2 linked regions of the Oreochromis niloticus genome follow. The protein of the gene in region 1 purifies or fractionates together with the protein of each later gene. This does not show direct contact. Links are inferred from orthologs where the notes say so. Each region holds a gene or a part of one and is shown on either strand. Other genes may lie near its edges.

Region 1 (7,142 bases):
ACACTAACACTACTAGTCAACACTAACACACTTTCCAGCCGTGGTGCGAATTTACTGCAAGTCAAACACTAGGTATATTTTCTGTCGTGGTAGTGTGAATGTACTTTACCGCACATTTCAGTTCACTCCCTTTATTGATAGTCAAACACTGAAAAGATAAAGATTCAGAATTCATCACTACACATCACGTGATTTATTTTACAAGACAGTCTGTCTTTACATAATAAACTCATATCAAAAAAATAAAAAATAAAAAAAATAAGACCGACTATTTTGGGTCTTTCACACTTGAACACTGGGGCTCTCCCATATTTCATCATCATACATATTTGAGATACATGTGATCCCATCCATCGAGGACAAATCAGGATGGTTTACATCGCTGGCAGTTGTCTCCTCAGTATTTGGGATGAAATCACCTGTACAATCACCAACACTTCCTAAAGACTCCACAGTAGGTTCATTAGGTCCTCGTGTAGACCCTTGGTGATTCAGTATACAAGGAGCTTGCTTAACTGCAGAAACTTCACCAGTAACTAAAACCTCCGTACTGCCAACATCCAGGACTGCTGAATGTCCCTCACTACTAATCGAGGCGGCAAACAGGGACGCAGCTTGGATTTTCTGTGAAGACTCTTCCCATCTTCCTTCATGCTCTCCATTTGTAACAGATGTTGTGCCCTTGTTTCCAGTTTTCTCCTGGTTGTGACATCTGCTCTCCAGCCCAAAGAAGTGGTTTCTGACAATGTAGCGTACACACTGCAGGAGGACATTCCTCTCGTGTCGGATATCTGGGGCCAGTAACTAAACAAAGAGACAAACAAGAGTTGGACTAAACATCTAAATAGTATAGCTTTAAACAGCGTGTCCTTTTTTACTAAATCAAAATCATATAAATACACATGCATAGTGTCAAATGACTTCCATACCATTTCAAGCAAAGTGGGGCGATGTAACTGTGGTAGTCTTCCTCTTCCCGCTCTTCCTCCTTTGCTGTTGGGCATGTGAAGCCTGGAATCTGTCTGAACCATTTTCTGTCTCTCTGCATTCTGTAAAAAAGCCTCTCTACCCCTGGCAGGTGCCCTCTTCTGAGGGTTGGGTGGTATTAAGTTTAGAAGGTCCTGGTTCTCTTGCACCAGCTCCTTACCTGTCTGAATGGGTGTGGCTAAAACGCAAAGGCAGGTGTTAGTCAGTCTCTCTCTCTCTCTCTCTCTCTCTCTCTCTCTCTCTCTCTCGTAAATTAACAACAAAATAAAAACAATTCAACAAGACAGAATCATTAGGATTTTTCTTGCATGGTGAAGATTTTGGACTTTTATCCAGCAAACACTATGTGCTCACCTGGTTCCTCATCACTTTCACTCATGGATCCGTAGTTTGCTACTAGGGAGCCCAGAGCTGAGCTCATCTTCTTAGGGGCCACAACCAAGCCACTGGTCCTGGACTCCTCTCTGTCAGAATCTTTGAGCCAATGAAAAACAGAGCACAATATATCACTATCACTATATAGGGGTGTCTGTGTATTTCAATCAAAGAATAACCAGAGGATAACCAGTGAAAGCTTTTTGATCTTGTCCTCTATGTAGGTGATTGTGCACAGCCTTGATTGAACTTTAATCAATTAACTCACCATGGTCACTAGTGGCTAGTGCTCCGAGTGGATCCCCGTCCCTGCATGGGTGGGTGAGTGGTTTAGGCTTCTCTGTAACACTGCAGTCCGATGAGTGTGGCCGTCTCAGATGTCGCCCTTGGAATCCTCTGTTTTTCCAACCACGACCTCTGCCTCTTCCTCTCATTCGTCTGAAAATAAATACATCATTGCTTATGCAAGTTAACTTTTTGGTAGGACAGACTTCATTTCAAATTTTAAAAAAAAAATGTATATCAAAATAGAAAATAAAAGACATGCACACCAAAATCCATAATTTATACATTCAAATGTAAACATTTACCCAAACTGAGCTGTTTCCAGGACAGCTCCCGTTTCCTCCCGCACCTCCAGGACTTTTTTCTTCTTCTCAATATTCACAAGTGTTGGATAGTTTCTAGTAAACCAGTAAAGACAAATTACTGACTGGACATGGGCAGTATGCACAGGTGGATCAACTAATGGCAAAATTGCATCAAAAGTTCATGACTGCCACAGTTTCTAAAATCTCTTTGCAAACACTAACTTGCGCCTTTCCTCTCTCCATTTAGTAATCTCCTCCGGTGTGTCCAGTTTGATTCGTTTAGTTCCTGGCACATGGTTCTGTCAACACAGAGCACTCACATTAGAAAAAGGAAACTACTACAAGCTTAATCTCTTTACATCATCTTCTTCCACTTACATTTTTCCAGTGTATGCTGACAAGTTTTTCATGGGCCATGAAGCTGCAGTCAGCCACAGAACACTAAAAGTGGATTCAATTGGAGCTCTCAGTAAAAAGTAAAGAATATCAATGTGAACAACACTAATATATATCTAGTAAGTAGCCTAGAGTGAAATACCTTGACATGCTGAGAGACATGCTCATTGTACTTTTCCTGGTTTTTGAAGCCCCGGTCGCAGGTGTCACAAAAATGGGAATACTCTGGTTCTTTCCTGTTTTTCTGCAAGGGGTGAAAAGCTCAAAGTTCCCAACAACGTTCCATTCACTTTCAATATAAATACAAAGTTCTCAGACTCGTCACCTTTTTTCCATGATGGCTGGGAGCTCGGTAGCTTTGATGTCCACCTCGATGCCATTCATGACTAAAGTTTTGACCTGAAAACACGCAAAAAATTCAAGCACACCTTTCTTTAAAAAAAAAAAAGACACATGGACATGTCCTTTATGGCGACTAAAGGCGCACTGCATGTATCTTAAACTACACAGCTGCTATCAAAGTTATTGTGGGGATGTGATTTTGTTTTTAGTTTATCTTTCCGGGTTTTCCACGGATGTATTCGTTGTGTCACTAGTTGGCTTTTATGAAACTAATTCAAGTGTTTTAACACGAAACAACCCACTGACGTCACTTGCTGCATTCACACAAGATGGCGCTCCACATGCTATAAAGCTTTAAATACTTATTCCTTAACTGCAGCATAATAGTGTTAAATCTATGACTTTTTTGTTAGAGCAGAACCCCATGGTGTAAGTCAGTCTTTACATTATGTGGTCCTTCATGTCCACTTTAGGGCGACAGTAACATGAAGGAACCCATCTTCAACAGAGAAACGACTGTACATTCCACTCACCGTATGTATGTGTAGGTCCGTGGTTTCCACGGTTTGATGAGAACCCATAACTTGCCGCTGACCCGTGGTGCCTACCAACACTACTGTCGCAGCCCCAGCTGTGTTCGATAGGCGTTTCGCTCCAGCTCCACATGGTGGGATGGAAGCTACTCGAGTGCGACTGCTGCTGCTGGAACGACTGGAAGGAATTCGAAGGAGGAAAGCCAAAGTCGGGCGGAGGGTAGTTTGCCGACTCGTTCATACCGCCAGGCCAAAATCTTTCTTCACGCTGACGATGAAGATAGTTCTAAGAAAACTTCTCCCCAACGCGTTGCCCTCATAAGCGCATGTATTTACCTTGAGCAAACTATGGATTCGTCACTTCCGGAGAGAAGGAAGACCATAAACCAACACAGACGAAAACGAATAAATATACGTCTATACATACTTACGTTAAGTATTTTAATATGTATAAAAAGTTTTGTGGTAAAAAAAAAAAATATATATATATGTACTTGAGACTTAACTGCAATTTTGATTTTACCAGTAGTTGGCTAGAACTTCTCGCGAGGTTTAAATTAACAAATTCTCTTGGGTTGCCATTTTTGGTAAAAAGCCTCCTGGTAAATATTAGAAATGCACTGCATCGTCTAACTACCAACACAAGTCTGTAAGCGTCATAAGCCAAGTGGCCGCTCGCTCGGTTTTATTAACCCGAATGCTATGTGCCGTTTGCGTAATTAAACATATTTCAAAGTGTATTTTTTTCCACAATAGAAGCAGAAACATATTATAAGGTAAAGAAAACGTAAAAATACATTGGACAATACGGTGCATTAGATACACCGAGATCCACCCATCCGTAGAAACCTTTTCTTCCGCTTATTTATAAATAAACCCTAAATTGTCTTTTTAATGTTAAGCTCGGGGGATAGCGACCGACGTGAGCGAACCTGGCAACCCAGTAGTTTCCTGGTGCCCTGTCCACGCCGCGTGTGTTTCAGAGTGAGGGCAGCAGCGTGGTGATCGAGGTGGAAACGCGAAGGCTCCAGAGGTGTGCACAATAACTGCACTAAGGCGCTGCCAAAATGCTCGTGTTGTTTGAAACCGCAGCTGGATATGCAATATTCAAAGTAAGTATTCGACTATTGTTCGCGATCTTTTTAAAATGGGGGACTTTAACACGGGCTCTTTGCGTTAGCCCGGATTAGCCATCCAGCTAGTTCATTGAGTGTCGGTAGAAGGTGGCATAAACGTGTTATTTACGGTATGAAAAAAGCAATCTCTTCGTTGTACTTGCGGATATGGATTAAACTTTTATTTAAAGTTGTTTTGTTTGCGCACGAGCTTGCCTAAGTCATAAGCGAACATCAAGCTTGTACTGTGAAGGGCCTGCAACCACGTGTGCACACTGAGGTGGTGCTGACTCTACTTTTCAACTAAGTCCCATGCATTTTAGAATTGTAGATTGTTCAAATGCGTTTATCATCCATTAATTTTTTAAAGTTACATTTTTAACGATGTAAGCCAGCCCACTGCTTGACAGATTTCTTTTAACTAATGTCTGTGTATTGTGTTTTAAGGTCCTCAATGAATCCAAACTGCAGCAGGTCGACTGCCTGTATAAGGAGTTTGAAACTCCCGAAAAAGCCAATAAAATGTAAGTGCTGATGTTACATTTTACCACCTGACGACACATATAACCATGGACTTATTACGATAAATCGTAGATGGAATGTAACTTCCACGTTTTTCCTTTTGTCCTACCAGCGTTAAGCTGAAGCATTTTGAGAAGTTCCAGGACACAACAGAGGCCTTAGCAGGTAATGATAAATTTGAGCCCTAATGTTTACCTGAGATTTGTCTGTGATGCAAAGCTGTGTCTGATTAAACATGAGGTATTGCACAGTCCTCGTCACTACCACTGAGACCAATTCCTCCTCACACATATGAGAATTGACACTTTTTGTGTTTTGTGTAAGCGCTTAGCACAGCTAAGCTTTATTTTATTCTCTATTTCCACTTTTCAGCTGCGACTGCCCTTGTTGAGGGAAAACTTGGCAAGAGTCTGAAGAAGGTCCTGAAGAAAGTTGTTGCCAAGGAAGCTCATGAGCAGCTGGCTATTAGTGATGCAAAACTTGGTGGCGTTATCAAAGTAAGTCACTGATATTTCTGTCAGCCTGAAAGACAGCATTGTTATCGAACGTTGTGTTTCTAATGACTTCTGGTCTTCAGGAAAAACTGGACCTGAGCTGTGTCCACAGCCCTGCTGTGGCTGAACTGATGAGATGCATCAGGGGTCAGATGGAGAGCCTCATCACTGGACTTCCTCCCAGGGAGATGAGTGCTATGTCTTTAGGGTTGGCTCACAGGTTAGTGGTGCACAGATTATGTTATATGAATGCAGCTGCTGCCTATGATTACATTTGCTGTCTGAAATATTTGTGTAGATTTTTCTCAGCATTCGTCACTACCACTGAGGCAGCAACCCTCTGGCTTATTGAAAATCCCTTCATTAATCTAGAAATTTGAATTAACTCATGTTCTCATCTGGTTGCAGTTTATCCCGCTACAAGCTGAAGTTCAGTCCTGACAAGGTGGACACAATGATCGTGCAGGCTATTTGTGAGTGTTGTTTTACACAGTTATGTCTGTTGTTGTGCCTGTAACATGTCAGACAAGAAAACTCTTAGAACAATCAGCAGTCTAAATTATTTTCAGAATGTCCAAAAACCTTCAGTCTGTTATCATTGCAAACAAAGAAAACATCTAAATTTTTCTGTTTAGGATTATAAAAATTAATAAATTATAAATTATTGATATTTTTGCTCTAAAAATGATCATTTAAGCAGTTAACATCAGCTGTACTGTGTTTTCGTCCTTGCCTCTAGCTCTTCTGGATGACCTGGACAAAGAACTTAATAATTACATAATGCGTTGCAGAGAGTGGTATGGCTGGCATTTCCCTGAGCTCGGAAAAGTGATCACAGACAACTTAGCCTACTGCAAGAGTGTCCGCAAAATAGGTAAGGACCATCCTGCATTTGCACAACACAGTCAGAGAAGCAGAGGTCTAGATATCCTAAATAGTGTGAGTAAAGCCAGCAAAAACACAGCAATCCTACAATTTCCACATTCAAATTCATTAGCACTCTTTAATTTTAATCAAAGCCTCTTTCAGTCTTTAAGAATTTATGGTTTCCTGTCAGGCTGAGTAAACCAGAGTGCTCTGAGCTTGTTTAAAGTCAGCGTTTTGTTACTCTAAGACTCACCTACATTGGTTTAACTTCCATGTGGTGACATTCCAGAGTAACTGCCATATGTTTGTGTCTACAGGTGATCGCACAAATGTCGCTGGCTCTGATCTATCAGATATCCTCCCCGAGGAGATCGAGGTCGAGGTTAAATTGGCTGCTGAAATCTCCATGGGAACAGAAGTGTCAGAGGAGGACATTGGCAACATCAGGCACCTATGTGATCAGGTGTGTGTCCTCACTGTTTGCTACAGTGATTGTGATGGCGATCACTGTTGTCTGTTGCAAAAACAGGGTTTTCTATGCGTCTTTGCCTTTCGTGACTGGTACCCTGCATTCGTGAATTTGTTTTTGAATGTTCTCTTTATATATTTTTTTTCTCCCATAGGTGGTAGAGATTTCAGAATACCGGGCTCAGCTCTACGACTACCTGAAGAACAGAATGATGGCAATCGCTCCCAACCTCACTGTAATGGTGGGGGAGCTGGTTGGCGCCCGTCTCATCTCACATGCAGGTGAGTTTGGGTGGGGGAGGGCAAAAGTCAGGTAATTTGTGAAAACTGGCCTAGCAGTGATGATGATGACACTAAGTCACTTTCCTGAACATGACTGATGGTTTTAAGTCACTACCTCATCTGAGCTGGCAGTGAAAGCACTAGTAGTCAGGTCCTTGAAGAGCACCATAG
Region 2 (6,058 bases), on another chromosome or scaffold:
TAAGAACGTGTTTTATACAGTACTGTACAAAGGTTTTGAGCCAGAAAAAACAAAAACACATGCAAACATATACAGAATTACAGCATATACAGCAAAAACAGTTTGTTAGGTCAGTGTTTGGTATGACCACATTTATTCTTTCAAGGATAGTTTGCCTGTCATTTCTTTAAGTAGTCTTCGAGAATAGTTCTCAAGGCTGCTTGACTTCTGCCATACTGAAGACAGTTTGAACCAAACATTTCAAAGTCATCACTAAATATGACCGGTTTGCCACTGATTTCCAGCCCAGTGCTTCTGTAACCTTCTGTAACCTGGATTCAGTGAAGAATAGATGCATCAATCAGGTCTCTCAAGGACATGATTTTCAGATAGTGCTCATTTGCTATTTTTTTTAAGCCTGACACACATCAGACCATGCAAAGATATGCCCAGTTTTCTGTTACTAACCATTTGGGAATCACTTTGTTTGAACTCATCTTGAAAAAAAAGAAAAAAGAAAAAATGAAAACAAGACCAGGTTTTAAGAAATAACAAAAAGAATTATTTTATTAATAAGTGAGCAGGGCTACTACAAACTCCTGATGAGAAACATCAGTCCCCAAAAAGCAAGAAACAAAACAAAAACAATTAAACATGATTTTTCCCCCTCATGTTTAATCAAACAAAGGACGGGACTATTTAAAACGGTTTTTTCCCCTCAAGGAGTTTTTGTCAGTGAAAGAAAAATCACACAAGCAGTCTCTCAATGGCCATTTGAACAGACTGGATCTGTGGCTTGAGCTGAGACCCCTCTTTTATAGTGACTGAGGTAGCGATAACGGGGCGCGACACCCCACAGGCCCGGCCCAAGGCCTGCTTGGAGCGGACAAACACGTAGGGGACATTCTTGTCCTCGCACAGCAGCGGCAGGTGGAGGATGATCTCCAGTGGTTCCGCATCGGCAGCCATCACGATAAACTCAGCGATGCCTCTGTTCAGGGTTTTAGTGGCTGGGGAAGAAAGAGAACACCTTAAATACAGCAAGTTTGTTCTTGGAAACACAAAAACAATGCTCAGCATATTACAGGTTACACAAAAAAGTGCCCTTCATTACTGCAGCACCGTTATTCTTGATGTGGCCCAAAACAAAAATACAAGTGTCTGTTTAACACATTTTTCACAAGCACTTAGTAATTCATATAATAAATACACTCGACATTGACTAATCATTAGCCTCCACAGGAAGACACAGCTATGGTGTAAGTTAACAATTATCTGTATAAACAATACTAAAAGTTATTTTCCTTCTCGCAGACATCCCATTCATGCAGAAATCAGAGGCTTGTGACTAAAGCTAGTTGTTTTAAGTGAAGAGAAACCACGTTTCAAACATGCTGGTGTCACCTGGCCACTCAAATCCGTTCATTAACAAATTAAATATTCATTTGCACCGACTGTGTCGCACGGCACGTTGTGTTTACCCACCTTCGTTGGCTCCCTTCCTCAGTTGCTTGTAGTTTGAGGCTTGCTGCACCAGATCCAGGATAGTTTTGGTCAGCGTGGCGTCGGCCAGCGGGTAGGCCTTTGGGTTCACTTGTGCTTCAGTCTGTTCACCACACAGAAACAAAGTAACTCCATGTTAGCCAAGAGAAACCAGTTAACGAAAAAAAAAAAGTCACCAGCACTGTTTCTGGTCACTTCTACTGAATTCTACACTTAATTTACTATGCTCGATGGTAGCTAGCTAGCTACTCTGTTAGCTTGTTCGTTTGAGAAGACACTCACCATGGTGTTTTTGTGCTATTCCGGCCCTCTCGGCGAAATGCTTCACGGAGGACTATTTTAATTCGACTGGCTTCTGAAAGATTGACGACACGATGCAAGATGCGATAACCTGTGATGTATTTTATAGCGGTACAACTCTCTAAGCTCCGTCGCATGCAACGACTCCAAACGTTTGCCACACGTGTGGTGTGAGGCGCATGCGCACTGGCAACGCTGGCGAAATCACAGGAAATGCTTTGGGAGAAAAAAATTGTTAATAAATGTGAAAATACAACGAAACAAGTCACTTTCATTTTTTTTACCAAATAAAAGACGACCTGGAAAGGGGTGACATTTTTTTTTATTGAAAAACAAATACGTTTTAAAATAAATACACGGAAATTATTTATTTTCCCTTCACCTGCTCCCTTCAGAGTTCAGCACATCTGCCCTGTGCCAAAATAGTTTAACCTGGCAGCATTCTTTTCTTTCACAGCAACCCTCCGCGTGTGCTTCTTCACTACATCCATGAACATCCTCTGTGGTTTTCATTTTATCCTCCTGCCTGGCAGCTCCATATTCAACATCCTTTTACATCATTTCAGCATCCCCTATCCCTCCTGTGCGCATGTGCAAACCATCTCTAAACACATTCCTTGTCATTTACATACCGATATTACATACACCTCTTTGTATTTATAATAATATTCATATCAGTGCATTTCATAACTTCGGTGCAAACCATCCAGCTGGCTCTGTCTGGTCCAATGAAAAAATATTTTATTTTATTTTATTTTATTTTATTTTATTTTATTTTATTTTATTTTATTTTATTTTATTATTTTCTCTCATCTCCAGGGCAGCAGAGGGCGCGCGGTCACTGGCTAGGCAGACGCACCGTTTACAAGCGAAGAAAGCGCTGAGGATTCTGGGTAGGGCACTTTGAAGCCAGCCATATTGCTTCATCGTCCTGACCCAAGGCAAGAGGGGCGATGAAGGGGATTCGGGGAATCAGTCAGCTATCGGTGAGGACTCGGGCAATGTGTCCTACGTGTCTGTGTGTCGGAACATTTGTACACCGAGTTGTGGGCTGTGTTTGTTAGACGGTGTCTAAATTCCGGGTCGTGTCCGGGCAGGCTGTGATGAGGAGCAGACGAGGAAGCAGTCAGCTAGGTCTTGTCATGAATGACTCCGAGCATAACCAGCAATAACCTGCTAGTTACATCACGAACACCGCGGATTTTAAGTCGTTGTACACCCAGCTTAATACTGTCTATTCCGTTAATTCAAGTAAGGCTTAGAGAAATCAAACTAGTTGACGTCTGAGCGATGAGAGCTAGCTAGGTTCGTGTTTATGAAGGACCTAGCCGTCGAGTTGCTTAACTTACATTTCCATTTTACTATCTAATTATATCTTCCCCTTTCTTATCTGCAATATTGTGCAATTATTGCAGTTTGGATTTAGCAGTAAACATCAATACTTATGTGTGTTTACTGAGTGAGAACCCTGGCAGCCTGAAATGGTAGATTGTAGCTAGTTTTAAAAAGATGTTCTTACTTTTTCACATTTGTCGTTAAAGGGTAGTAATGTTGTTTGGCATCATTCTGTTGGAAGACACCAAGACCCATATAGAGGTTGTTATTACACTTCAGAGTACATTACAATCTTACAAATCCTTGATACTTTCAAAGATAATTTGGAAAAATTGACCTGCAGATTTAAACCTGGTGATATGCTTAAACAAAATGCAGAACAGAGACTTAAGTGGGCCTTGTCATAAGATTATTTTTTCACCTGTATAATTCTAGCTTCATATTTAGTCACAACATTCAGTTCTTTTAGTACAGGCTGCCCTACTAATGCCATTGATCCCATTATTTTAAAGTTCGTGCTCATATCAGCCAACAGGCCAGCAAAACATTAGTTGTAATGTCCTGCCTTCCTGTGTTCTTTGTTTTTCTTTTCCCCAGACAAGGTTTTATGCAGCCCAGGCTGCCCGTAAGGTGGAGGTCACTGGGTTTCATCCACAGGATGTTCAGGTCAGTGGTTATTGACTTCTTTTTCTTCTCTGCAGAAACGCTTCTATGCGGCTGCCAGAAAAGACCAGTCCCTTGCTCAGCCCCTGGCTGGCCTCAGCCTCTCTCCCAGAGTTGGCCATTCCTACCAGGATGTCCACGTATGTCGGGCAGTGATGAGAATTGTAGTATATATTGGTTATGTTTTAAGCTTTATCTGTTTTTTTTCACCTTGCTGAATATAAAATATTAAGTAATCTAACTAAATGCCCACATTGTCTGAGCTGTATAAATAAAAGCCAAGGAAACCAGTTAACTGAATCACTGCCTATAACTCAGGGTACTAACAACGCTAAAGGACATCTCTATATGTCTCCAGGTGACCAGGCTGCCCAGCGGGCTGGTGATCGCTTCACTGGAGAACTATTCTCCAGCCTCCAAAATTGGAGTCTTCATCAAGGCTGGCTGTCGCTATGAAACCCCTGAAAACCAGGGCGTCACCCACCTCCTCCGGCTGGCCTCCGGTCTGGTATGTAACTTAAAAAAAAATAATAATAACATTTAACTTGAAGTAAGCATTGTCCTCATCAACCTTGGTCCTTTGGTGTTGTTGAAAGACAGAAATGAGTAAAGCTGCAGATGCACCAGAATACAAACCAAATCTTTATTCAGTTTTAGGCAAAAATCTTATTTTGATTAGAAATATAACAGTGTTTACATATTAAAAAGCCTGCACAACTGTTGTTAATAAATGGAGCTTAAGATCACTACTTTTGTAACGGTGTGTAACATTGCCGCATTTCAGTCGACATGTTACTTAACTTTTCTGCCTTTTCAGACAACCAAGGGAGCTTCAGCTTTCAAGATATGCCGTGGTATTGAGGCAGTGGGAGGCAGTCTAAGGTCAGTAACTTAGCCAAAAACAAATAAAAGGTTTTTCTTGTAAACAGTCATTTAATTATTTTTAGGTGTCTAATTTGCATATCTGTGTATTCCTGTGCAGCGTGACTTCATCCAGAGAGAATATGACCTACACCGTCGACTGCTTAAGAGATGACGTGTGAGTCTCTGCATGTCACCTTTGTGTGTGATGAGTGTGTTGATGATTGAGCAATAATAATAATAACGTAATGAAAATGTTTAAAGTACTAGGAGATACTTAAAGAACTTTGTCTCTTTCTGTTTACACACTTTTCCATATTTTGGTGAAATGACTACATTCACTGGAACATATGAATGCTCTGAGATGTGATGTTGCAGGAGTGATAACTTTCTTTTCCCCCCCTTCCTCTATTATTGGTCTCTAGTGACACAGTGATGGAGTATTTGATCAATGTGACAACAGCCCCCGAATTCCGTCCGTGGGAGGTGTCAGACCTCACCCCAAAAGTAAAGGTGGACAAGGCACAAGCTGCACAGAGCGCCCAGATAGGTGGGCCCTTTGTTTCTCTTACAACACTCAGTTTTTTTGAAAGATTTTTAAGGGATCTGTTGTTTTATTATAGAACTACTTAATTCATATTCCCACCTTTGAGCCTGATTAATATTTTAAAAAGCTTCTGGGTTGTTCGATTAATCAATAATTAGCCTGTAGAGCCTAGATACCAAACTGTCATATAGGGACAGTAATGTTCTCTCTGTTTTTTCTTCACCATGAGTGCGTTGCAGCTAACAGTCACCCATCCATCTTTTTTAGGTGTGGTTGAAGGTCTGCATGAAGCTGCCTACAAGAACGCCCTGTGTAACTCCTTGTACTGCCCAGACCACATGATCAACAACATCCACTCTGAGCATGTGAGTATATATTTCTGTTTGTATATTATGAGTACAAAACATACAAACTAAAACAATTATGAATTATTGCAATGTTTGCATTTTTCTCCAGCTGCACCAGTTTGTCCAGAACAATTTCACCAGTGCAAGAATGGCCCTTGTTGGACTTGGTAAGTGTTAGGGTTTAAAGTATTTTCCATATAAAGAAAGAAGTAGCCAGATTTCTGATAAACGATAACAATGCTTACCTTTCTACTAGGCGTTGACCACACTGTGCTGAAGCAAGTGGGAGAGCAGTTCCTCAACATCCGCAGTGGAGCCGGCACCACGGGGGCTAAGGCACAGTATCGTGGAGGTGAGGCGAGCTGGCTGAGAGGGGGAAGGAAAAGAAAAAATAAAGGATTTAAGCAAATTTTGAATGAATGATTCCAACCTGAGAAATTGATCGACCTTGCAGACTTCCCTGTCTCATGACCTCGTGCCTCTTTCCAGGTGAGATTCGCCTGCCCAGCACCAGCAGTCTGGT

The links.
Region 2: the proteins of nop58 (region 1) and NHP2-like protein 1 fractionate together in Homo sapiens (co-fractionation; 3 studies listed by BioGRID and IntAct, with this or other methods). This does not show direct contact. The link is inferred for Oreochromis niloticus from reciprocal best matches to the Homo sapiens genes NOP58 and SNU13.

Annotation. Positions count from the first base shown.
Region 1 is NC_031986.2:729,539-736,680, forward strand, and holds the start of nop58 (nucleolar protein 58), read left to right. Parts: upstream 1-4,127; 5' UTR 4,128-4,290; coding exon 4,291-4,335; intron 4,336-4,785; coding exon 4,786-4,862; intron 4,863-4,972; coding exon 4,973-5,025; intron 5,026-5,232; coding exon 5,233-5,357; intron 5,358-5,437; coding exon 5,438-5,574; intron 5,575-5,762; coding exon 5,763-5,827; intron 5,828-6,093; coding exon 6,094-6,228; intron 6,229-6,538; coding exon 6,539-6,684; intron 6,685-6,844; coding exon 6,845-6,971; intron 6,972-7,018; exon of another isoform or gene 7,019-7,102; intron 7,103-7,142. Other genes in the region: FMR1-interacting protein NUFIP1, read right to left, coding at 283-804, 930-1,165, 1,342-1,461, 1,631-1,800, 1,953-2,045, 2,175-2,251, 2,331-2,393, 2,491-2,592 and 2 more. UniProt on the Homo sapiens protein: Required for the biogenesis of box C/D snoRNAs such as U3, U8 and U14 snoRNAs. Part of the small subunit (SSU) processome, first precursor of the small eukaryotic ribosomal subunit.
Region 2 is NC_031973.2:20,520,597-20,526,654, reverse strand, and holds NHP2-like protein 1, read right to left. Parts: upstream 1,996-6,058; 5' UTR 1,768-1,995; coding exon 1,765-1,767; intron 1,586-1,764; coding exon 1,465-1,585; intron 990-1,464; coding exon 727-989; 3' UTR 519-726; downstream 1-518. Other genes in the region: uqcrc2b (cytochrome b-c1 complex subunit 2, mitochondrial), read left to right, coding at 2,736-2,768, 3,819-3,920, 4,139-4,288, 4,598-4,662, 4,763-4,819, 5,067-5,191, 5,456-5,553, 5,645-5,702 and 2 more.